4 linked regions of the Arabidopsis thaliana genome follow. The protein of the gene in region 4 interacts with the protein of the main gene of each other region in a pairwise test. Each region holds a gene or a part of one and is shown on either strand. Other genes may lie near its edges.

Region 1 (6,904 bases), 3.8 Mb from region 4:
TAATTTACTAAGTTTTAGGACTTGTATATAAGTTGTACAGTAGTACTACTTGTTTAAAATTATACGTATAAGTGTATAATTTTTTTTTCTTTTCTTTTAAAAATTTAGTTTTATAATATTTTAAAAATATTCCTAGCAAAGAAAGAATAATTCATATATGCTGACTATCACGTCTAGTTGTAGTAGTAGCTACACAAATACTTGAATTTGAATTAATAAGTATATAGATAAATTGTACAAGTATCACCTATTATAAGTTTGCCAACCCTGTTTTGCGCATGATAATACGGCAGTAACAGTGTCCATAATCAATAATAACACAAAATCTTATTAAAAATTCGTATTTTATTTAGAAGAAAAAAACTAATTCATCTATGAAAATTAGAAGGAGACGTAACCGCTAACTAGTGTAACTGGACCTGCCTTCGGTGTTTGGTAAGATTCCGGTACTCTGTACAAAATGGCTGAAGCTAAGGCCCACACTATTTGACCGTACGTCACTGGATTGTTTCTCTAACGACTTTGATTCTTTTACTCGCTTGAGTTTGAATGTAAATGTCTGATTTTTTTTTAACAAAAAAGAATAAAATATATATCTACATAAATCTATAGTTTTCTAGCAATAATATTGTTGTCAATTTGTGAAATGTGATGGGTTGCTTGCATATGCAAAAGTCTCTCGATCGAAGTCTTCCGTTTATTATGAACCACACAAATGGTTTTAAGCAAGAAAAATATCTACGAGTAAGATCAATTTTGTTATGTGTAGAGATTATCATTTGTAACTTTATGTATTAATACAATTGCACGTAAAGCTTGACCTTCTAATAGAAATAAATTTGATAGGAAAAAATCTCTAATACCAATTGCAATTTTTTTGTTGTTGTAATATTGCAGTAAGCTCTCTCATTTAAGCCTTTGAACAAAAAATAAAATAAATATCAGATTTATTGTTGAGTTTCGCGTTGGTATTTCAAGAAAAGAATATGGTCTTTGGCTTTTGACCAAAAAAAAAAAAAGAATATGGTCTTTGGCTCTTTGCGACGCCTATATGCATATATGATATTTGTATGACTATAGACTCATAGTTAATTTATTTTCTATTCCATTTTAACTTATCAGTGTCACTAATCAAAGCTATTATTAAACGGTCTATTTTAAAACAAACCATTTTGTCTATATGCTATTTCATATACGACGATTATAATCGCTTCTTTAGAACTAATAGCCAATAATAATGTATATTTCGACTGTTCACCATACACCGCCACCTAATTCTTCTAAAACATTTCAATTCATTGACTAAATATCGTCATTATTTTGCTTACACATTTTGTATATGTTCCTCCAAATTTGTTCACTAGAGTTTTCAACTAGAACAAAACAACTACTCTGTTGGTGAAAGAATGAATATGCATGTGTGAAGTTTATTGCTCAATATGGATATAGAAGATGAAAAGAAAAAGAGTAAATTGATTTCTTTACCAAAACGTGTCCAGATGTTATGTCAATATGTAATTCTGACATGACCAGAACTTCTGTAACGCATTTAACAATCACTTCCGAAAATAACAAAAACAAAATTCAGGAAAGATGATGAAATTGTAAAAGACAGACTGTAATGGCGTCTATTGAGACAATGACTCAATCTGTCTTAAACCGGAAAGTTGACTCGTAAGCCATATTGATTATCTTTATTAAATTTTCCTTTTTATTCTCTTATTCTCTCGAAGTAGTAACTTTCTTTTGCATCAAATAAAGAAAATATGAAAACGCACCCCTAAAGTTTATCTTATTTTTTTTATTAGTGCCTCTAGTTTTCTAATGTGTAGAGTCAGTGACACACTTTCTTTTTACTTTATATCAAGATTTGATGATATCATATGATTTTAGACTTCTAATTAAGGTTTTTGTAAAAATTGTCACACTACTTTTTTGAATTCTTTCACTTTTTTTAACAAATGTTATTTAGAAAACATAGTCAATATACAGATCCTAAATGTAGATAAAAATTTACAATTTTGACTAGCAAGATCTGATTTGATATGTTTCTTATATATCAATTTTTACCCTTATTTGTTCCATTTTACTTTGATACTTTTTTTTATAGACAAATTTAGATAATTTTATTTGATAAGTCATAGCATTTATTTTTCTTATTTTTATACCAAAATTTATTATAAATACATTTTTCAAACAACACATATACAACACAAACTGTCATTAAAACCCAAATTTTATATATATATATATACCAAGCTGGTAATAATATGATATGATCGTAATTAGCAAACATGAGATCATGCAATAAAAGACTTAAGACAAAAAAATGTGCCACGCTGGTAATGCAAATTTTGTCGTGGTGTGTAGATAAACAAAAGTTTCAGACTTAAATCAAACATACATAAACGTTAAGGGTCTTACTTGCAAATTTGAGTTTTACCGGTAAAAAAAAGAGTAACAGGAAACGTAAAAAGAAGAAGAAGAACGCTCAATGGAGAAAAAACGTGTCCCGAAGTGGCAAATCACGCGACGAGTCTCTTCTTCTTCTTCTTCTTCATGCGTTTTCTCCTTCCTTCTTAAAAGCTCTCTTCTTCCTCCTCCTCTTTTACCAATACATCTATTAACTCTCTCTTCCCTCTTCATCAAGTTTCTCGAGGAGAGTGAAGAATTTGGTTTTAATTATTCTTTGATTACCCTTTTTGTGGTGTGGTTTTCGTTATTTCGAGGAGTGATAATAATACCGTTATGAGTCATCACTTTACATGTGTTTGATCAATTACTCTTAATTCACTTTCTGGGTTTCTTCCTTTGAATCTCTCCTCAAAGAAAAGAAAAGAAAAATGAAGGAGGAACAAACAAGATCTCTGTTTGGAATCTCTTTGTCTGATAAACCAACTTGGCAACAGTTTCTCATTTGCACTTCTGGTTTCTTTTTTGGTTATCTCGTTAACGGTGTTTGCGAGGTTCGTTTCTCTCTTTTTTGCAATTTGATTCGAGAATTTTGATACATAATCAATCAACGTTAATGTTTTTGTTTGTTCTTTGTCATAATTCCACATACCCAGCTCCTGAATCTCGTAAATTTATAATTTTTTTGCATTTTCAATCTCTTGCATGCTAAGTGTTTGATGTTTTGTTTCTGAGAGAAAAAAAAACAGAGGAAGAAGAAAAAATTGCATGACGAACTAAACTCTCTCCAAACTTGTGAGAGATCACAAAAAATCTGTGATCTTTGTAAAGAAAACAGATTTTAGAGAATGTGATTGGATCTACAAGTACTCATATATGATCATTGACTTGATTTATTTTTCTTTGGTTTTGCAGGAATATGTTTATAATCGTCTTCAATTTAGGTAAAAGTCAACTTTTGATTACTCTTTTAAGTTTTAGATTTGAACAAAAGTTAACAATGGGATTTTGCTCTGTCTTTGTAGCTTTGGGTGGTATTTCACGTTTATACAAGGATTTGTCTACTTGTTTCTAATCTACCTTCAAGGCTTTACCACAAAGCATATAGTTAATCCGATGAGAACTTATGTCAAACTCTCTGCTGTTCTCATGGGTTCACATGGTTTAACCAAAGGATCTTTGGCTTATCTCAATTATCCAGCTCAAATCATGTTCAAATCCACCAAGGTAATAGATCCACATTTCCCAATTACAGTCTCAATGAGTTTAAATTGAGTTTAAAGAATGATCGGAATGACCATCTTTCGGATGTTTTAGGTGTTACCGGTGATGATAATGGGAGCGTTTATACCCGGTCTTAGAAGAAAATACCCAGTCCATGAATACATTTCAGCGTTCTTGCTTGTTCTTGGTTTGATCCTATTCACATTAGCCGATGCGCAAATGTCTCCAAATTTCAGTATGATTGGGATTATGATGATAACCGGTGCATTGATCATGGATGCTTTCTTGGGTAATCTGCAAGAAGCTATCTTCACAATGAATCCTGAGACAACTCAGGCAAGGAAACTAAAGAAAACACGGTTCTTTCGGTTTTCCTTTACCGGTCTGTTTTGTTTCGTTTCTGAGATTAACTCTTGTTATGTGTGTTGTGCAGATGGAGATGCTTTTCTGCTCAACAGTTGTTGGATTACCGTTCTTGTTCGTTCCCATGGTTTTAACCGGAGAGGTTTTTCGTGCGTGGACTGCGTGTGCACAAGTAAGTAAACAACCTCTGTTCTCTTTTTTCTGGTTTGACTTTTGGTCAACCTTTAACCAAACCAAGTTAACCTTATGAGATAGTCGTCCATTTTAAGTGAAAGTGACAAAGAGTGGAACCTTTTATTTGGCTTTGAAAGTACTTCTATAGATTTGACTCGGTTTATGATTCAAACCGGAGTTGGACTCAGTTTAGAGAAAAAGTCAAAATTTGTAGGATTCTTGGTACCACGAAATGAGAGAGATCATTGACCGACGACGTGCCTCTGAATCTGCCAAACTTTTTAAAAGCCAAATTGTCTCTTTTAAATTCATTGATTCCATAACTTAAGTACCAACGTGGAATATTTTATAGTCAAACGGTTTAATGATTCATTGGTTGACATATTTAAAACCAATTGTGCTTTGTTTATATTTGCAGCATCCGTATGTGTATGGAGTGCTTGTATTTGAAGCCATGGCCACATTTATCGGTCAAGTCTCCGTTCTCTCGCTTATTGCTCTCTTTGGAGCCGCCACAACTGCCTTGGTAAATATCTAATCTTATCTTTGAATACTCATTTGTATTTTAATTGACTCAATGGTCTAAAATCACATTTCGTTGTGTGTAGATAACAACGGCTAGGAAAGGGGTTACATTGTTGCTGTCGTATTTGATATTCACAAAGCCGTTAACGGAACAGCACGGATCAGGCTTGCTGTTGATAGCAATGGGGATTGTATTGAAGATGGTTCCAATGGATAGTAAAGCTCCGGCCAAGATTCCGGCGAGACCAGCGGTTAGGATCGCAGGAGGCGATGGTGATAGAGAAGAGGACGAAGAAAGGAAGTCATTGGTTTGAGAATGTGCCATGTATTTATATATATTTTATCTCACAAATTCAAAGGGTTTATAGAATAATGTTGGATGAAGGAGACACAAAATAGAGTTAAAGTTGTGTCAGAGACTTGTTATTAGATTCTAAAGTGAAATTGCAAAAGATTGAGCTGTTAAATTGTTAACTATGATATGAATTATTTTTGTCATCACTCTCAGAAGAAAGCATTATTCGTCTCAAAGCCTATTCATAAAGCGGGAAACGCTAATGACTACATTCTAAACGACAGGATCAGTGAAGAACCTGATTCTATCTAAGATCCTCCAGTTTCTTTCTCTGATCTATGAATAACAAACTTATCGACAATCTTTACGGTGTTGACAGGATCCTGCTGCAATGTTGTTGCACACCATTTGCTTGGAAACCTTCTGTGATGACTCATTTTCACAGTCGATCTCGGCTCTGCATCCCAGTCCTTGTCCAGCTTCCATTCCTTTGGCACCTGTACTCATTCATCACATACACTCCTCTGTTTAATTCTATAATCACAAACTTTTTCTTTTGTCATTTCGAGAGTTGTTTTTCTCACCTTGTCTACTCCGAGAGTGAAGACTTCAAGGTCTCCATCAGGTTTGATGTTGGAAACGGGTGAATGATTTGTTAATTGGCGATCCGAAGTGAAGAAAATGCTTCATCAAAGTGTATGTGAAGCCAGTTGATGGATATATATAAGTAACTTCCAAAAACCAAAGATACAACAGGGGTTGAGAAGAACCCAAAAGTAGAGGAACACAGAAGCATAATAGATGGCTTGCTCCGCTTCGAGAAAGTGACTCCCATTCCTTTCTCGACAGATGTTAGTCCGTGTAACCGCCATCACCTATGTCAAATACTTTACTTTCGGCTGAAAAATAGTTTTCTATTTCAGCTAAAACGAAGGCTAAGTTGACGATTTTACCTCGGGAATATCAAATGCTGACATAAGATACTTGATGCAGGCAGGATATAATCCGAACGTCCACTGCTCAATACGGTCTCGGAGGCCAGTAGGGTCCGGAAAATGTTCATTTTCTACTGATTTGTACCACTGATACAATGTATGATACCCTGTGTAGCAAAAAGTTTGAAAATCTCAAAATCCATTAAGGTTTGATCACAGATACAAAAAAATATCAATTAAAGTAGGATCACATATTTTTTGTCCACTTGTGTCAATGACATTGTAATGAGGAAAGCCACAACATTCTATGGAAAGGAAACTGACCGGAGTTTGCAAGGAGCTTATGCTGAATACAGATTTCTATGCCGAGTTCCAACAGCAACATAAGAATCAAAGCAGCCATCAGGTGTGCAGAAACATGAAGAATTCCAATTAACAGTCGTTTCCTCCGAGATATTTTTGAGGGAACAAACATAATTGCAGTTATTAGCAACATAAGAACCCCGGTGAAAGACACATATGACTGCTCTGTTACATACACAAAGGAGCTCCAAACTGTGCCAAAGAAACTCCCCAAGTGGCCAGAAAATGAATCGCCTCGTAAGATATGGCCTAGCTCACACTGAAACCAACAAGGAATGAAGATAAAAACTTTCTCGTGAGTGCAAGTGAGCATAAAAATTTCTTCGCACAGGAAAAACACTACTACAGATATGCAAGGCCTGTCTCAGTTTGACCATTTAATAGTGGATGCTGACAATGTGTACCATTTTAACAAAAAAGTCTTAATGACCAAGTCAGGCTGCATTGCTGAGAAAATAAATATAAAATGGAGAAACAAGAAACAGTTCATATGAAAAAGAGTTTGATAAAGTCAAAGATGTGTAAAACCGCACCTGAGGGAACAAGGAAAAGACCAAGAGAAAGTATATGATGCCACCAATGAAATCAAATTGCCAGTTCTTTTTCCTGAACT
Region 2 (5,143 bases), 7.7 Mb from region 4:
ATTTTTGGATTATTCGATATGAGAAACGATGGGGCTATAGATTTTGGAGAGTTTGTACACACACTCAACATTTTTCACCCAAACTCATCACCAAGAGATAAGGCCATATGTATGCTTCATCACTTCTAATGTGTTTATTCATTTATTCCATGTTATTATTATTTTCTATATAGCTAGAGATCAATGTTATTAACTATAACCACAAATACATCTGATCACTTGTTTAAAATTAAACAGTTGCATTTAGATTATACGATACTCGTGAGACTGGATTCATTGAACCGGAGGAGGTACGTATGTAAACTTTGTCTCAAAAAAAAGAAAAAGTCATGATTAATTATATTTGACGGTTTTCCTCGACTTGGAGAAATCTATAGGTGAAAGAGATGATAATAGACGTTCTAGAGGAATCAGAACTTATGCTATCCGAGAGTATCATTGATTCTATCGTGTCTAAGGTGTGTATAACGCTTAAGTTTATGAGCTTGATTTAACATTATAGTGATTTTACTTACTATTTTTGTTTACTTATATTTGGCAAAGACATTTGAAGAGGCCGATTGGAAAAAAGATGGGATAATAGATTTGGAAGAATGGGAGAATTTTGTTGCCACCTATCCTTTGACACTAAAGAACATGACTATCCCTTTCTTGAAGTAATTCGTTTGTTTGTTTTTCCTAACCATTTTCTTAATATTCGCTGATAAATTGCATGTTTTAGATACATCTTTCGTTTTACAAAAAAAGTAATATATATACATCTTTCAAAAACAGCTTTTATATATGTGTGTTTATGCATATATTACTATTATCTTCTTTTATTTTATTTTTCTTGTTTTATAAATCGAGATAATTATTCTAAAATTAACTTTTATTGTACAGGGACATTCCGAGGATTTTCCCAACCTTTCTCCGGTAAAATCAGATGAGGTGTTTGCTAGAGGTTTTTGTTTAAAAATATTTTTATCCGAAAATCACATAGGTAATTTGTTATAAGAAATATAGAAGGTTAATTATTATATAAACATATTAACTATCGAAAGAAATCTTTAATATTTAACGAGGATAGAAAGTAATTGTTTTTAACCACAAAGCTAAAGCTGTGATATGAAAACTTAAAAGCAAAGATCGGTTCGTGAAGACAAAATGGGGTTTTGGAAAAGGAAAAGAGGAAAAAGAAAAAGAACAAACGTGTGAAAATTCGAGAAAAATGGTAACACAAAAAGAAATTGGACATGATATAAGTTGCCAAAACCAAAGAGAAAAAATTGACATGATATACCAATCAAATTTTTGAATCAGGTCAACTAATCAAATTCACAACAATCATCCACAATATTATTTAGATTTGACGCTTTCACTGTTTCACATGAAAATTTTACATTTGACGCGATGACTTGTGGAGTCACGATCATTTTAGTCACTCGTTTTAAACGGATGCTTCATTCAAAAAATGTAACTTATATTCAGAAGACTCCTAACGTCCGATTCAGATTTACAAAAAAACAATATCATTGAATCGGAAAACAGAAAAGCATAGTAATATTCTAAGTATTTAATTATAATCGTGAGGAAATAGTTCCGTAATAATGGGGGAAAAATATATATATGATAAAACCAAAATGAGATTTGCCTGAAGATGCCATATGTCTGATCAAACACTCTGAGCTGTTGTGTCGATGAACTCACCATATGCCAAGATACGCTATTAGCGACAACACATTTGTATTGTCAAATGTCATTAATTAACATCCACAGGTCCAACAACAGAGAAACAAAATAATTATCACAAGTAAAATATAAAATTAGTAATATACTTGTACTTATAATTTTTGGCTTATGCCTTTTAATTTATTTTAACACTAGACTCGACGAAACTCATCACTAACATGACCACAAAAAAAAAAGATTACAATTCTAAAACACAAAGATTAAAAAAGAAAACATAACGAAGTAAAATTAAGACTAGACATCAACTTTACAAGTTGAAGGAGCGAGAAGAGGAACTTGTCCGTTAGAAGATGGATTAAATCTCAACCACACATCACATCTGGCGTAAAATCCATACCGTCCAGTCTTAATCGCACCAGCTTTCCAACGTAGCCTCCCAAAAATCACCACTCTCATCAAAACGACGCCGTAAGCTTCATCATTTTTTAAACCATTAGCTACTTCCGGCGAGACTGGTATACCGTTGCCTCCCATCACCGGAGCTATCACAACCGTAGATTTATGTCCTAAACGAAGCGGTGGTAGTGGAAGCGGCGGTGTTATGATCTGATCTTTGTACGTTACGTACATAGAGAGCTTGTCGTAGTGAATGGAGACTCTCCGGTTAGGGTTTCTTGCTAAAACGCTGAACTGAACGGAGGTTGAGATTAACGGCGGCGCTGTGAAATTCAGGTCGTAGATGGCGGCTCCGACGACGGTGAGACGTGGTTTATGTGGACGGTAGACGAGCCAAAGGATTAAGGCTATGATACCTAGTATGACAAGGATGGTGAAGATCGCGCCGCAGATTGCGCGGCGAGCATCTCCACCGCCTCCTCCGCCTTCTTTAGAGTAAGATTCTGGCGTTGAAGAAGCGGAGGGAGCGTTCTTGTGATCTGCTTTGGCTGCGTGCTCTGCTTTTGCTTCTCCTTCTCCCATGGCTATACTCTACAGATATAAGTGTTAAAGTGTGTATGTATAGGTATGTGTGTGTCTATACGAGAATCAGAGGGTTCGGTGAAGAGTGAAGACTCTAAAGAAGGAGGAGGAGAAGAAAGAAGATAAGTAGATGCAAGGTTTTGTCTCTTTTCTAGTTAATAAGAGTAAACAGTCTTCTAGAGTACAGTTTTATTAATTGTTTATTAACTTAGAAAGCTTGTAGTTGTAATTATGTGTTAAAGCTAATCTTTTTATAAAGTAGCCGTAAATTACTACTGTTTTTACATTGTGATTTTATTTTGTTATAATACTTAATGTAATAATATAAGATAGAGAAGTACTTTCGAAAGACTCCAAATCTCGGTGCAACCGTTCACGTGACGGATCTGATGAGTGATGAATTTTTTAAAAATGAAAAATCCAATGTAACGTGTATACATATGGCTATACATAATCAAATACTTTGTTGTCAATGATTGACTTATTTGGTGACAACTATGGTTTCGTGCAACGTGATAACTATCACTTTTTGGCCGTGTTAATTTTTAAAAAAATTAGAATGAAATTTATCAGGTTACGGCCTGTCAAAGTTAGCAATAACCTAATATCTGTTTGCATGCCAGAATACGGTTATGTAGAAAGAAAATTAAATTATCATATTTCACAATTCTTTATCAACTGTATAAAGCAATTAATAATAAATTAATTAGATACCACATGTGTCATATTTGTTCTAATGTTTAGAAAATAAAAGTACAAGTCTTTTATGTCCACATCTCCAACAATACTTCTGACCAAATTCCATATATTATTAGTAAGCTTCCAAAATAAATAATAATCACATTTAAGAAGAATCTGTTATTTAATCACACTAACTGAGATACCGCACCACCGACACTGTAGTCACCGACAATGCTGTGGATGCTACCTGGGCCTCAATTATAAGCCCATTATAAAATTGGGCCTACACTAAAACTATTGTGTACAGAGAGATATTTGATAATTTGCTGACTGATACAAGTCTCACTTCCAACGGCCGATTTATTAAAAAAAAACTCCGACAAATGATTCGCCGGCCGATCTACGACTTCGCCGCCGTTTTTCGCCACTTAACTTCTCCGTTATCGACATCCTCGCGTTTTCTGTTCTATTCTTCATCTGAACATGAAGCTCGAAAACCGATTGTCTCGAACCCTAAATCCCCAATCGGGTCTCCGACTCGGGTTCAAAAGCTCATAGCTTCGCAATCGGATCCTCTCCTCGCCAAGGAGATTTTCGATTATGCTTCTCAACAGCCCAATTTCCGCCATTCTCGATCTTCTCATCTAATCCTCATTCTCAAACTCGGCCGTGGTAGATATTTCAATCTTATCGACGACGTTCTCGCCAAACACAGATCAAGTGGTTATCCATTAACCGGAGAAATTTTCACTTATCTGATCAAAGTCTACGCAGAAGCAAAGTTACCGGAGAAAGTCTTAAGTACGTTTTACAAAATGCTGGAGTTCAATTTCACGCCGCAGCCAAAACATCTGAATCGGATTCTAGATGTTCTCGTAAGCCATAGAGGTTATCTCCAGAAAGCTTTTGAGCTTTTCAAGAGTTCACGGCTTCATGGAGTAATGCCTAACACGAGAAGTTACAATTTATTGATGCAAGCTTTTTGTTTGAATGATGATTTGAGTATTGCATACCAACTGTTTGGTAAAATGCTTGAGAGAGATGTTGTCCCTGATGTGGATTCTTATAAGATTCTGATACAAGGGTTTTGTAGGAAAGGTCAAGTGAATGGTGCTATGGAATTACTTGATGATATGTTGAATAAAGGATTCGTGCCTGATAGGTTAAGTTACACGACATTGTTGAACAGTTTGTGTAGGAAGACACAGCTTAGAGAGGCTTATAAGCTTCTATGTAGGATGAAGTTAAAAGGTTGTAATCCTGATCTTGTTCATTACAACACGATGATTCTCGGGTTTTGTAGAGAAGATCGTGCGATGGATGCTAGGAAAGTTCTTGATGATATGTTGTCTAACGGTTGCTCGCCTAATTCGGTCTCGTATAGGACTTTGATTGGAGGATTGTGTGATCAAGGAATGTTTGATGAAGGGAAGAAGTATCTAGAAGAGATGATATCCAAAGGGTTTTCTCCTCATTTCTCGGTTTCAAATTGTTTGGTAAAAGGGTTTTGTAGCTTCGGGAAAGTCGAAGAAGCTTGTGATGTTGTAGAGGTTGTGATGAAGAACGGAGAAACATTGCATTCAGACACTTGGGAGATGGTAATTCCATTAATCTGTAATGAAGATGAGTCGGAGAAGATCAAACTGTTTCTTGAAGATGCTGTAAAGGAAGAAATAACCGGTGATACCAGAATCGTTGATGTCGGTATCGGTTTAGGATCTTACCTTTCTAGTAAGCTACAGATGAAACGTAAAAATGCTAGAGAGAGGAGGAGACATTTATAGGTTCCTCCTGATCCTGAAAAGCTGTAGAA
Region 3 (6,150 bases), on a different chromosome or scaffold from region 4:
ATGGAATAGGGAATGTTGAGGAGAACGTCATTCTCACACCAGGGGAATTCAGTCGTCTGTTGGCAGAGTGTACGTACACAAGTCAGCGTGTACCTGGCGGAGATAACATTTCTCACTCGGGAGACCGCACACCAGCTGTGACTCCAAGAAGTATGTGTCAACATGGTTTGTACCAATGTACCTACACTATACATTGAGAAGTGTTTTTAAGAACAGAAAATCATACAACAAACAATGTCTTATCTCAACCACTGCCAATATTGGTTTAATATTGTATCAATAAATTTTTCTTAATAATTTAATTCACAAACAAAAATGTACGTATATTATTTCACATGTACACATGTACACATGTACATACATTAATTTACCAACAAAAATGTACGTACATTATTTCACCATCTATTTTTATTTAATTATTATGTATGTATTGAGATTATTGAGATATAAGAATACGTAATAAAATAGTTTTAGTTATTAGAATTCGTCCCATATATGTTCCAATAAATAATTTCGTGTACGTACACTATAAATTGAATATACGTACACAGAAAAAATTCGATGAAGGGTATAATTGTAATTTTTCAGTCATCTTCAACCTGTGTATCCTTTTCTGCAAACCTAATTTTGCGGCCGTCTTTATTAGTTTTCTGAAAATCTCATTTTTTTTACGTTTTGATTACTATTTATAAATAAATCTTGTAAACCTAGAGTATCTTTAGTTTAAAAAGCTAAAGTGTTTGTATCTATGAGCTTTTTTTTTGCATTTTGTTCATCTCTGAAAACAAGAAATTTGTTCCTCAATTTTGGAGTTCAATGCAAAGATGTCGAAATATGAAGGAGTGGATAATGAATTTTGAACTTCTTTCTACTTCTCTCTCGAAATACTCCATCTCTTTCTCTTTTTCTTCTTCTTCGATTTCTTTGTTTCAGTTTTTTTTTTTTTTTTTTTTTTCAAAACTGAACCACAGAAACTAAACCGAAATCAAGTGCTGTGTGGTTTGGTTGCTCCCATTAATGATATTTTAGTCTGAAAATAACTGAAAAGACAAACGGTGAAAACCATATCTCACTTTGGTAAACTACGAGAGCAATTCTTTTTTCATCTACTTATGTGAAAATTTCTTTTTATCTAATTAACGTTGTGCTCTGCCTCCTTTGTATTATTTGATCCTGTTATTGAATGTTCCCATACTAGTTTCGATTTGCTACTTGTTCTTTTATTTCCACCTCTGTTCAAGAGATACTAGTTCATTCACAAGTTTGATTAGACTTGGTGGATGTATATATGTTTTGTCTCTTTTCTACTTTTATTCCTAGACTAAGTGGCTTATGTTTTACTCTTCTATATACTTTGAATTGCAGCTTTCAAGAACAGAGGCTAAGAAGATCAGAACCAAAGTATATTTAGGAGGATCTTGAACAGAAATGAACAGAAGCAAGACATCAAACACCAAAAAATTGACCTCTTCATAACCATATCTATAAAGCACATGAGATATGAGATCCAAATAACAAAACAACTGGGAAAACCAAAGAAATAAAGTGACATGAATGTTCAAGATTCAACAATTATGTTGATATGTGGTCAGAGACGACTTCTTAGCGTTGTTGATCTTACTATTTTCGCAGACAAAAGTAGACCAGAGAGAGACTTTATCCCCATCCTTCTTGTAGTTATCAAACAAAGAATCCATGATCCCTACACGTTGCCTTGGTGTGCTCAGTGATCTCATCTTTTCCCTTGCAGACTCTGTCACACTCATGTACGGCTGGAAACCATTGGATCTTTGAAACCAGCTCTCGTCTTCCAATATACTCTGCTCCAAACGGCTGAAAGATCTCCTTGGGAAAGAAAATGGAGAGTCTTGTCCATCACCAGAGTCTTGTCTCTGCAAAGATCTAAGCTTTACTTTTGTAGGGACAAGCATTTCACTTGGAATGAGAAATGAGTTGATGGATTTTGCAGACTTGGATTCACCCCAATGTTCCAGCCGACAGCTTCTCATCCCCATATCCTTAGCGTACAGTGACTCCACAAGCATATGAGGACTTCTTCTCTCCTGCAAAAACAACTCCTTGAAAAACTAACCAGATATATAAAGATCTTGAGAGAGAGACTTTACCCGTTGAGACCGGGAGTATTTCAACATACGATCGCGCTTGATCACACCTTCTTGCTTCCTCAACCATATGGCTTTTATATCTTCCTTCGTGAGAGCACTACTGTCCCAACCATTGCACTTCACCTTTGAGTTACACAGCGAATGGTTCGATACCTGAAGCTCCTCTTTGATCTCAGATTTGGTATTGGACCAATGCTTTCTCTCTGTTTGTCTCTGGATGATGTTTGATGTTGAAGCTTTGTTGGAGTGTGAAGACTTCAATAAAGCAGAAACCTTTCGCCTAACAGCTCGGCCACGCACAATTGCTTGAAGCCTTACAAGTGCCTTAAGCGCCCGCAACGCTTTCCTGGCCAGAGAAGCCCTGAATGCACTCTGAATCTTGATAGCAGCCACATTGGGAGCGAGCTTCTTGACAAAATGTTGTGATGTGAAGGCGTTTCCCGCCATCCGGACAACCTCAGCAGCTGCCTTGGCGGCTGCAACCGCTGCCTCAGCTGCTGCAGCCGTGGCAATGGCTACATTCATTGCATGTTTCCTCTGATCCTGTGTTGCTTCGTTCAAAGTCCTTGTCTCTTGCCCACAAGTGGCAAGCTGCGGTCTCAGCTTCAGCCTTTTAAACACCCATCTCAATCTCCTTGGCTTCTACGTAAAAAGAAGAATCATTTTAGATTCAGAAACATAAACAATTCATAGTGTGTAGAGAAAGAAACAAAACCTTCTCTGCTCTTGCTTTGGCCTCGCAGATGAATAGTCTTTTCATCCAACCGAACCACGACCTCCTCTTCGCCATTAGATGGAGTTCTCTGGTAACAAATGATAAAATCCTCTTATTAAGTTGATCAAGAAAACAGAACAAACATCTAAAGAAGATCCATTAAAGATCGAACCAAAATAGGTATATATCCACAGATTTTGTGTTTCAAGATCATTAGACTCATCAATATATAAATCACATCAATAGAACAAACGATATAATGATGTAACAACACATTAGTGTCTAATAGGTATGGAAGAATCTTACTTTACCTATGAACGAACACAAACCAAATGATGAGAATCAGGAAGAAAGATGATGTGGGAGATTCAGACACTTGTGAAGAGATGATTTCAAGTGATGTCTAAATATAGTGATGATCCTCTCTCTCTCTCACCTTTTCCAACTGTCACTTTCACTATCTATATGATTACTGACTTGTTCAAACCCCTAACTCTCCTTTTTCTTTTGCTTCTTAACCAATCACTTTATAAATTCATACATTCTTTTCTTTCTTCCTACTTTTGGCTTGTGATAAAAGAACATGTGGCTTGTCAACGTATCTAATATCTATGCCTCCAAAATATATATGAAAGTATGTTAAAGTAGATTATACATATTTTAATGTAACCATTATATCGCTTGAAAACTATATACATTGGACTCGTAAATTATTATAGCTTTGGGAGAAAAGAATAATGACGACAATGAGTGATAGTACAGTTTAATCATTAATAGAGAAATAAAATTAGATACATCAAACTTTGGAGATTTTTAATCAAAGACTATTTTGGGTTTCATTTTCTTGTAGTTAGGGGTGATTGTTGTCTTGTTGAGAATGCTAAAAAGTATTAGTCACTAAATGTTTATAACTCACTAAAATGACATTATACGAAATAGCAGTAACGGAGTTTTAATTATGAAACTGAGTTTTAACACCCAAACTTGGTAGAAACTCAAAACATGCACATATTTATTACTTTAAAAGTTTCATAATAATGAGCTAAATTTATCAAAGATTCACAAATCTCGTAATCGGATGAATATCAATAAAAATTAGTTGATGGTGGTGGTCCATATAGACCAAAATTCGTTGTTGAGTAGATCATTACAACTTTAGTTATCATGTCATTGAAACAATGATGAGCCATGTGAGCCATATATATGATATGAACATATATAGAGAGCGACCTATAGGTTTTGTTTAGGCCTTTATAAATAATGCATTGGAGTTTCTCAACACAGTTAAAGATCCTTTTGAGTTGTCATAATGTCCCACCACTCTTTTAACACCAGCTTCTTTTTCCCTTCAAATCCAACAATATTAGTGATCATCTTTTTTCTAGGCATAATGCATAATTTTGAAATGTAAATCTCACTTGAAGTCAGAATTGTTGGTGCATATTTAGACGGGTCTCTATTTATTCAAATCAATGATCTTTACAAATATCTTAACATAACATTTTCATCATTCATAAAAAGATAAAAGGGAAGAAAAAGGTTGCAAGCAAAAAGAAAATAGAAAAAAAATCAATGTACCAATAATGAGATCATAAAGTTATTATCTGTACCTAAGATTACATAGAGAGAAACTATGATCTGTTTCTTAGATCACTACATGACTTTATAATTATTATTATGTTTATTCGTTTTTTAGAAAATTGAAAGAACAAACATTCGTCATTACATTTCAAAGAATGTGGACATTCTCCAAGTGACCCATTAATTCAACTTATAATATTGAAACTATTTGGATCAACCTATAACTTAAGAACTATGTAGACAAGTGACATCGATTATCTGTGTAAATAAATTGATCTGTTTTATAATTTGTTAGATTGAACCATTTGTTCTATGTGTAAATTATCATAAATTAGCTACAAACGGAGTCAACCACAAAACGCAGATCCAAAACGCAAATGCAAAAAGGCAGAGTCTTTAATGACACCCATGAGAGAATACATCAAAACCATGAGAGGTTCATCAATGGCCAAAACCAAAAACCTTCAGCATCAAAACATAAAAGATAGTTGAATAGCCTACATACATAAACTGATTAAAAGCATAAACTACTTAGTTACTTCCTGCGGAAGAGGCGTTGCATTGAGGAGTGTCGATCATCATGGCATTGTTTTCAAACAGAGGAGAACAAGGCCAGGTACGTCGAAAGTAAGGCACCACTTTGTTGAAATCCCAAACGAGTGTCGATTTTCGTCCTTGGTACTGAACTACTTCGACCCTTTTAGTCTCTGTGTGATAGATGAAGATTTGTGTATCACATCTGATGTACACCAAGTCCGACTTCTGATTGAAGAGCGCAAGCAGCTGCGTTTCTTTAGTCCAAGTGCTGAATCTTGTAGCTACCGCTTGGTTCATTTTCCACATCGCCTTGAAATTCACCTTAAACAGCAGGTTCCATTCAAGCACATTGCCTACCTTTTCAAGCTTCCATACCTCCATTACCGACTTATTGCTCCATCCGTATTGTAAAGACCCATCATCGGTTTCTCCCAGAACCTGTTCATCATAGTCATATGTTTTCGGAAGCTTTATCACATCAATCCGTTTCTCCTCACTGTTTGAGTCATATATGGCAATTTTACCTCCTCTAGCATGCCAATAAACAACGCCTTTAATCACTCTCCCTGGAGTCCACGGGCTGAGAGATAGAGGCTCGAGACAAATAAGCTCTGAGTAGCTCCACGTAGAAGTTTTTGAGGAAAAAGTCTCTACCTTCACCTTTGTACTGTTAACAGGAAAGGCTACACACTCTGCCCGGACCACCTTGTAGCTAAACCCTTGATCAGGACTATCCTCAGAAATCAAAGACATACAAAGTTCTTCGAAATGAACTCTGGGACGTGGAAGTTGCTGCTGCTTCTGTGTACTCGGATCCCACAAGTAGTAAGCTTTTGGATGGCGGCCGCAGAGTAGAAGACCATCTGCAGAGTCGATGTAGTATCCAAGCTTTTTCAGAATACCAGAGGATTCAATTTCATCACCAATACTGCTGGTTGAGAGCAAAGGAAGAGATGGCTCAGCGCGAGGGCGACGAGTTCCATCTATGCGTCTTCCAAGGTACATTGAGCTGCAGACGAAGAAGCCAATGAGTTCAAAATTAGGTTTCCACTTGGCTAAGTAAGTGTGACGGAAGCAAGGGCTGGCTATAATCTCAAGCCATCTCTTGGACACCAAAATCAGCTTGTATATCGTTTCTGGTGGAAGCAGGATAAGAATCTCACACATAGTATCATTACTGTTAAGAACCTC
Region 4 (6,105 bases):
TTGTATATAGAGAGAGGAAGTGTTACACAAAAATAACCATTTTTTTTTTTTTTTTTGAATGTAAAACCAATACAATAAGTCAGTAACGAAGATGGAAAAACCAAACAATAAACACATATTTTCTTGTTACACTTGAGCTATGCTTTTTCTTCTTCTGTCGTTAATTCCAACGAGATGTGAGTGGACATCCAAGGCGGACGAGGAAACGACTATGAAGATCAGATAGTGTGACGGTACAATTCTATTTAGATCGAAAGTAGTATATTCGGTAGCATTTCGGTATGTTTTTACCGAGACTTACTGAGTCATCCGATAATAAAATATATAAAAAAACGATTATAAAGATAAATTGTATTAAAAAAAACATGTGTAACTAAAATTATAGATTTCTTTAAAGAAAAAAGGAAAGAAGAAGAATCCTATGAGAAAGGAAAAGATGGTTTATATCATTTCTCATTGACATTAGTGAGGATAAAACTTTTTAAAGAGATTTTGAATTTTCTCTAGAAATTTGCGAAAACCCTTTTAAAAAAACTAGATGCTCTTTTTGTAGAGAAAATATTTATTTTCATAATCTTGATTGAAAAATTAAATTTTTTTTTCAGAAAAATCAAAAACTAAAAACATGTTAGATATTAGTACCATTCAAGGTCTAAATTATATTTGGTATTAAATCCAAATGAAATTATGTTTGACCAAAAAAAGAGATCTCGTACACGCCGGCCCATGGGCCTTTACAACAGATTGAACCAAAATGGAAACATAGACCAATCAGGATAAGGTATATTTCTCTCTATATTTGCACAATTCAACAACAACACGATTTCTCACACATTTCAAGTTTTCATTATCATCCAGAAATCTTCTTCTTCCTCCGATCACCACCATGTGTACGTTAGAGAAACGCGGCGATCTCTTCCTCCTAACCCTAACCGGAGACGGCGAACACAGATTCCACCCCGACACAATTGCCACCATTCTCTCCCTTCTCGAACAAGCCAAATCTCAATCCACCCGTGGATCCATCCTCATCACCACCGCCAACGGCAAATTCTTCTCCAACGGATTCGATCTTGCATGGGCTCAAACCGCCGGATCCAAAACCGGAGCCGCAAACCGGCTTCACCAAATGGTTGAATCATTCAAACCGGTGGTAGCAGCGCTTCTCGATCTCCCTATGCCGACGATCGCCGCCTTGAACGGCCACGCCGCCGCCGCGGGATTGATTTTGGCTTTGAGCCATGATTACGTGTTCATGAGGAAAGATCGTGGGGTTCTGTATATGAGTGAAGTTGACATCGGGCTTTCGATGCCGGATTATTTCTCGGCGTTGGTTAGGGCTAAGATCGGGACGAGTGCGGCGAGGAGAGAGCTGTTGTTGAGTGGGAAGAAGATTAGAGGAGAAGAAGCGGTGGGTTTGGGGATTGTTGACTCGGCCGCGTATGATAGTGAGGAAGGTGTTGTTGTGGCTAGTGTGCGCCTTGGTGAGAAATTGGCGGCGAAGAAATGGAGCGGTGAGGTTTATGCGTCGATAAGGAAGAGTTTGTATCCGGAGCTTTGTGGGATTCTTGGTTTAGAGACTAGAGTGTTTGCAACACCTAAGCTCTAAGAAAGCGTCTTTCAGAGAGTGAATCTTTGGTTTATTTGAAAAACACATGTTTTGGGAGAAAGAGACAATGTTAAACTCTAGAACTGTGATCACAGAAATAATAAACATGTTCAATGTTGGCTTGTTCAGTGTTGTTGTTGGGCTTGTTCTTAGGCTTGGTTGTTTAAAATATGGAACCGGTTTAATCGGTTTTAGAGCTAATTAGATGAACTAGAGATAACCGGGTTGTAGTAGTTATCGGAGAAGGAGAAACGGTGTTGTGAATTTGTGATTGCTGAAATTACGCCATGTTAAACCGGTATTAAAACACAAACTGTTTTTCGTTCGAAAACGCATCTATCAATCTTGGTCTTTTATGTTCCTAAAAGATAATTTACACACTCCCAGACATGTAATAATTAAACCAGCATTAGCATACAAGACGACAAGAAAAACTCACCAAAAAATGATAATTTTAGTTGTGACCCCTTTTTCACAGTATAAATTCTTTTTAAAACTTTATGCAAAATTGTATTAAATTATATTATATGAAATAAATTTAAGTAAAATTGTTGCTTTTTAAAATTTAACCTCTTTATATTACCATTATCATAAAACAGAATGAATCTAAATAGAAAAATTCCCAAACAAAATCTCAACTATTTAAAAGTTGCCCAGATTCATATACACGATTTCATATATAAATTTTTTCAGTTTTATCCTAAAATAAAACTAATTTTATTTATTTAAAATATCAAATTTATATTGATTTTCTAAATAAATACCAAAGGGTGATAAAATAGTTTGGTATTTGATTTGAGGTTAGTTTTGATTTAAAATGTTAGTAATAATGAGTCGCGTTTTATTGGTTGCCGGCTTAAATACTTGAAATGACTCGGACGAACGTCATTGGCCAGGCAACGTGTAAAGCATCCTACGTGGCGTTTACTTCCCAACGAAGTAGCGAGTACAAAAACCAACATCATTGTACTCGCGCGAGTAGGTCGACGAAATAAAAATCTCACCTTTTTGACCCCAAAAATTTCTAAATATTTCAAAATCAGCCTCTTCGTTTTCTTTCTCCTCCTGTCTGTTGATTTAAAGACCCAAATCTGACGCTTCTCTCTCTCTTTCTGGTATCTGCGTTTGATTCGGAGAAGAAAAAAAAAAAAAAGGCAAAGAGAGAGCTTCAATGGAGTTAGCTTCTTTCCTTGGTAGAGCTCTGTTTGTTTCCGTATTTCTTCTCTCCGCATGGCAAGAGTAAGCAATTTCCTCTTCTTTACTCGGTTTAGATCTGTAAGTAGGATCTGCTTTTTCTTTATATCTGAGAAAATTCAAAATCTGGGGGCTCTTTGTCTCTGTTGTCTTAGAGAAGTGCACAAATTATGAATCATGGATTTAGGTTTTAGCTCGATTATAGCTGAGTGAGTGAGTTCTTGGAGGAGAAAGAGAAATAGAATGTTGGACAGTGAAGGAAAAGTATGGATCTTGCTTGCTTTGCTGGGGTTGAATTTGATAGATAAGATATCTCTGGTTAGATTTTGTTTCTGATTGGTCAATAACTGTCGAACATTGCTATGTTTTCTTCTGTTATTACATCATTCTCTAATTTTAGCACTTTGTTTTTTTTAAGTTCTTTCTTTTATTACTCATTAAGTGGGTTGTCCTGAAGTTGCGAAGTTTCTTGTTGAGTTGGTCTCGTTGGTAGTTGGTAGTTGGTGGTTGGTTATTTAAGCACATGATTCTAAAGTCTTGAAACCAAGAAAATCTTACTAGGTGCTTTGTTATGGTTGTTGTGAATCAATTTGACTCAACCAATGAACTCATATATTGAATGCCTGTATAAGGAGTTTCTCTTCTAATTTCTTGTTTTAAGTTACACAATTCTTCTGACGTTACAAATGTAGTATCTTTATACGTTGATTGAAGAAAACTTTCTTTGTTCCCCTTGACTGTCTGCTTGGTTTAGTTGAAAAGCATTGCTATTTGAGTCTCTACAGAGACAGTTTACCTCACTTTTGTTCTTTCCCTCACTGATTGAAAGTTCCAATATTTTTAATGACTTCATTGTTCAGGTTCAATGATTTTGGTGAAGATGGTGGCCGATCAGCTAAATCTTTGAAACCAAAATTCAATGCCTTTGTAAACCATGTGACAACTCACACTGGCCAGCAATTGCCACCAGTCGATGTATGTGCTTCTTCATGTCCATTCTTTGTCCAAACACAGTAACCAAATCGTTTTTTTTTTTGTTTTCCTGTTTTATTCACTTTGCTTTGGTTTGCAGATGAAGATTCTTGTTGCTGCTGCTATAGCCTTGAAGGGTATTGGGGGACTATTGTTTGTCTTTGGCAGCTCATTGGGAGCTTATCTCTTGGTATGCACCAACTGTTCCTTCGAATATATTGTCGCTTATCAGAATGACGAAAACAACCCTGTTTAACTCTATGAAATCTGGTTTCAGCTTCTGCATCAAGCCGTTGCCACCCCAATTCTGTATGATTTCTACAACTACGATGTTGACAGAAAGGAATTCGGCCAACTATTTTCAAAATTTACACAGGTTAGCTAATGTCATATTGGTTGTTTAATGAAAGTTTAAACAACTGTTGACATAGACCTGAGATCTTTTTCTATTCTGTGTTAACTTTTCAGAGCTTGGCTCTTCTTGGAGGACTGCTCTTCTTCATTGGAATGAAAAACTCAAGGAAACACGGTAGGCAACTCAGGAAAAAGGCTCCAAAGGCAAAAGCAAACTGAAGAAGCCATATCTTTCATCGGTTTTATTCGGTCTGTATTTTATTTTCATTTTGGAATCCAGGATGGGTTTAAAGAGTCTATCTGATGAGGCCATTGAAAGGCAAAATCTCTGCAAATCATTTTGCTTACTTCAAGAAGCTTTTATGACACTTTTTTGTAGAAATATTTATGGATTATTGTTTCTTAGAGACACCACTTCAATGTTATTGTTCCAACTTATTTCACAACGCGACTGATTTATTAACCTACGGAATAGCCATCAGCTCAACCTTTGTAAATTCATTGTCACTTTGGTCCTAATTGGCTAATTTGTTGCTACTCAGTGAATGGTAAAAATAATTATTCATATAGCGAAGAATACAACAGCAAGAAGCTCTCGTAGCTCAGTTGGTTAGAGCACCCGTTTAGTAAGCGGGAGGTCTTGAGTTCAACTCTCAACGAGAGCAACATTTTTGGTCTGAGCTAAAGTTTTTGATAACTGAACTTTTCGAACTCATAGATCAGAGAAGAATCACAAGTTTCTGGAGTTATATTTATTTTATAAGAAAAATACAACCCAAGATCAAGAGTAAAGCTTTTACACTTGCCAAACGGAAGAATCCTAAACCAAGTGATTCAGAAATCTCTATGAGTTCCCTATGGGTACCAAAAAAAAACAATTGAGAGTTTAAGCAGCAGGAGGCCTGAGTTCTTGATCACGAGATGTGTCACGAACGGATTGAGGCATATAATGCCACATTGGCATGTAACCGTAACTTGGATAAACAGCCATTTTGTTGTGGTTAAATGCAGCTGGAATATGAGGTATGAACCCTGAAGATGGAGCCGTCATAGACTTTAACTGTTGTTCTGTCTTCTCTTTATCCGCCTTCAACACCAGCTTTTCCTCCCTCAGCTCGTTCTTCTCCGCCTATAAAGAAACATACAAACTTAGAAATCTGTTCACATCCCATTGAACAAGATTCTTGGTTTAGGTGAAAGTGAATGAACAACCAACCTTGAGACTCTTGATCTCCTCTAAAAGCTTCTGGTTAGTTTCTTCAAGCTTAAGAGCTTCATCTCTAAGTTGATTCAATATACGGATTGCATCATCGAGTATAGCCGGTTTATCAGTCTTAGGAGTCCTCCCAGGCTCCAAAACCGAGCTCAAATCCATAAACCTAACAGAACAACAACAATTTTTTTCCCCTTGAGACAACTCACTTCACAAAACAAAAACATAGACTAAGCTCTAAACATACCTCTCATTTAGCTTCTCCCTCCTCAACCTTTCACGACACGCTTTAGTTCCTCCTCCTCTGCTACACGATCCAGTCCTTGCCCTATCAACAACCATCACAGATTCAATTAAAAACACAACCAACTACCACCAAATCACAAAAAGTTTATATTTTTTCAAAACTCACCGCTTTCTGGAGCAATCGTCATCTAAATGTTCCTGTTCTTCCTTAACAGCTCCACCAGATGAACCAGAATTGATCTCTACTTCTTCTTCCTGCACAACTTCACAATCTTGTTGCCCCACCTGTTCTGGCTCTAGCGACAAAACTCCATTATACGAGGACAAATCCAATTGAGAAGCTCCAATACTAAAGACTTCATCTGGCTCCTGCTGCAAATTCACACCATATGACACAAAATCTGGAAAGGTATCCTCTTGATCAGTCTGCAAATTTACACCAAACTGTGTGTAATCATCAAGTTCTGCTCCATTGCTACAAGAGTCATCATGACCAAAAAGATTCACATCCATCAAT

Evidence for each region.
Region 1: the proteins of AT4G14420 (region 4) and UTR2 interact in a protein complementation assay, tested with the Arabidopsis thaliana proteins (one large-scale study listed by BioGRID).
Region 2: the proteins of AT4G14420 (region 4) and AT4G01410 interact in a protein complementation assay, tested with the Arabidopsis thaliana proteins (one large-scale study listed by BioGRID).
Region 3: the proteins of AT4G14420 (region 4) and IQD12 interact in a protein complementation assay, tested with the Arabidopsis thaliana proteins (one large-scale study listed by BioGRID).

Annotation. Positions count from the first base shown.
Region 1 is NC_003075.7:12,058,426-12,065,329, reverse strand, and holds UTR2 (UDP-galactose transporter 2), read left to right. Parts: upstream 1-2,471; 5' UTR 2,472-2,843; coding exon 2,844-2,966; intron 2,967-3,327; coding exon 3,328-3,356; intron 3,357-3,437; coding exon 3,438-3,639; intron 3,640-3,729; coding exon 3,730-3,972; coding exon of another isoform or gene 3,973-3,995; intron 3,996-4,041; coding exon of another isoform or gene 4,042-4,069; coding exon 4,070-4,171; intron 4,172-4,254; coding exon 4,255-4,395; intron 4,396-4,591; coding exon 4,592-4,699; intron 4,700-4,747; coding exon of another isoform or gene 4,748-4,781; coding exon 4,782-5,012; coding exon of another isoform or gene 5,013-5,023; 3' UTR 5,024-5,146; downstream 5,147-6,904. Other genes in the region: AT4G23015 (uncharacterized protein), read right to left, coding at 4,748-5,023; AT4G23000 (Calcineurin-like metallo-phosphoesterase superfamily protein), read right to left, coding at 5,683-5,868, 5,947-6,095, 6,253-6,550, 6,825-6,904.
Region 2 is NC_003075.7:575,814-580,956, reverse strand, and holds AT4G01410 (Late embryogenesis abundant (LEA) hydroxyproline-rich glycoprotein family), read right to left. Parts: upstream 2,930-5,143; 5' UTR 2,650-2,929; coding exon 1,966-2,649; 3' UTR 1,670-1,965; downstream 1-1,669. Other genes in the region: CBL5 (calcineurin B-like protein 5), read left to right, coding at 1-109, 238-290, 378-458, 544-656, 883-919; AT4G01400 (oligomeric golgi complex subunit-like protein), read left to right, coding at 3,714-5,114.
Region 3 is NC_003076.8:1,066,768-1,072,917, forward strand, and holds IQD12 (IQ-domain 12), read right to left. Parts: upstream 3,398-6,150; 5' UTR 3,153-3,397; intron 3,023-3,152; exon of another isoform or gene 2,930-3,022; 5' UTR 2,917-2,929; coding exon 2,842-2,916; intron 2,769-2,841; coding exon 2,127-2,768; intron 2,064-2,126; coding exon 1,566-2,063; 3' UTR 1,391-1,565; downstream 1-1,390. Other genes in the region: AT5G03970 (F-box associated ubiquitination effector family protein), read right to left, coding at 4,954-6,150. UniProt on the Arabidopsis thaliana protein: May be involved in cooperative interactions with calmodulins or calmodulin-like proteins. Recruits calmodulin proteins to microtubules, thus being a potential scaffold in cellular signaling and trafficking.
Region 4 is NC_003075.7:8,300,414-8,306,518, reverse strand, and holds AT4G14420 (HR-like lesion-inducing protein-like protein), read left to right. Parts: upstream 1-2,522; 5' UTR 2,523-2,780; coding exon 2,781-2,848; intron 2,849-3,663; coding exon 3,664-3,778; intron 3,779-3,875; coding exon 3,876-3,965; intron 3,966-4,052; coding exon 4,053-4,151; intron 4,152-4,243; coding exon 4,244-4,348; 3' UTR 4,349-4,668; downstream 4,669-6,105. Other genes in the region: IBR10 (indole-3-butyric acid response 10), read left to right, coding at 887-1,609; bHLH104 (basic helix-loop-helix (bHLH) DNA-binding superfamily protein), read right to left, coding at 5,016-5,258, 5,346-5,508, 5,590-5,670, 5,755-6,063.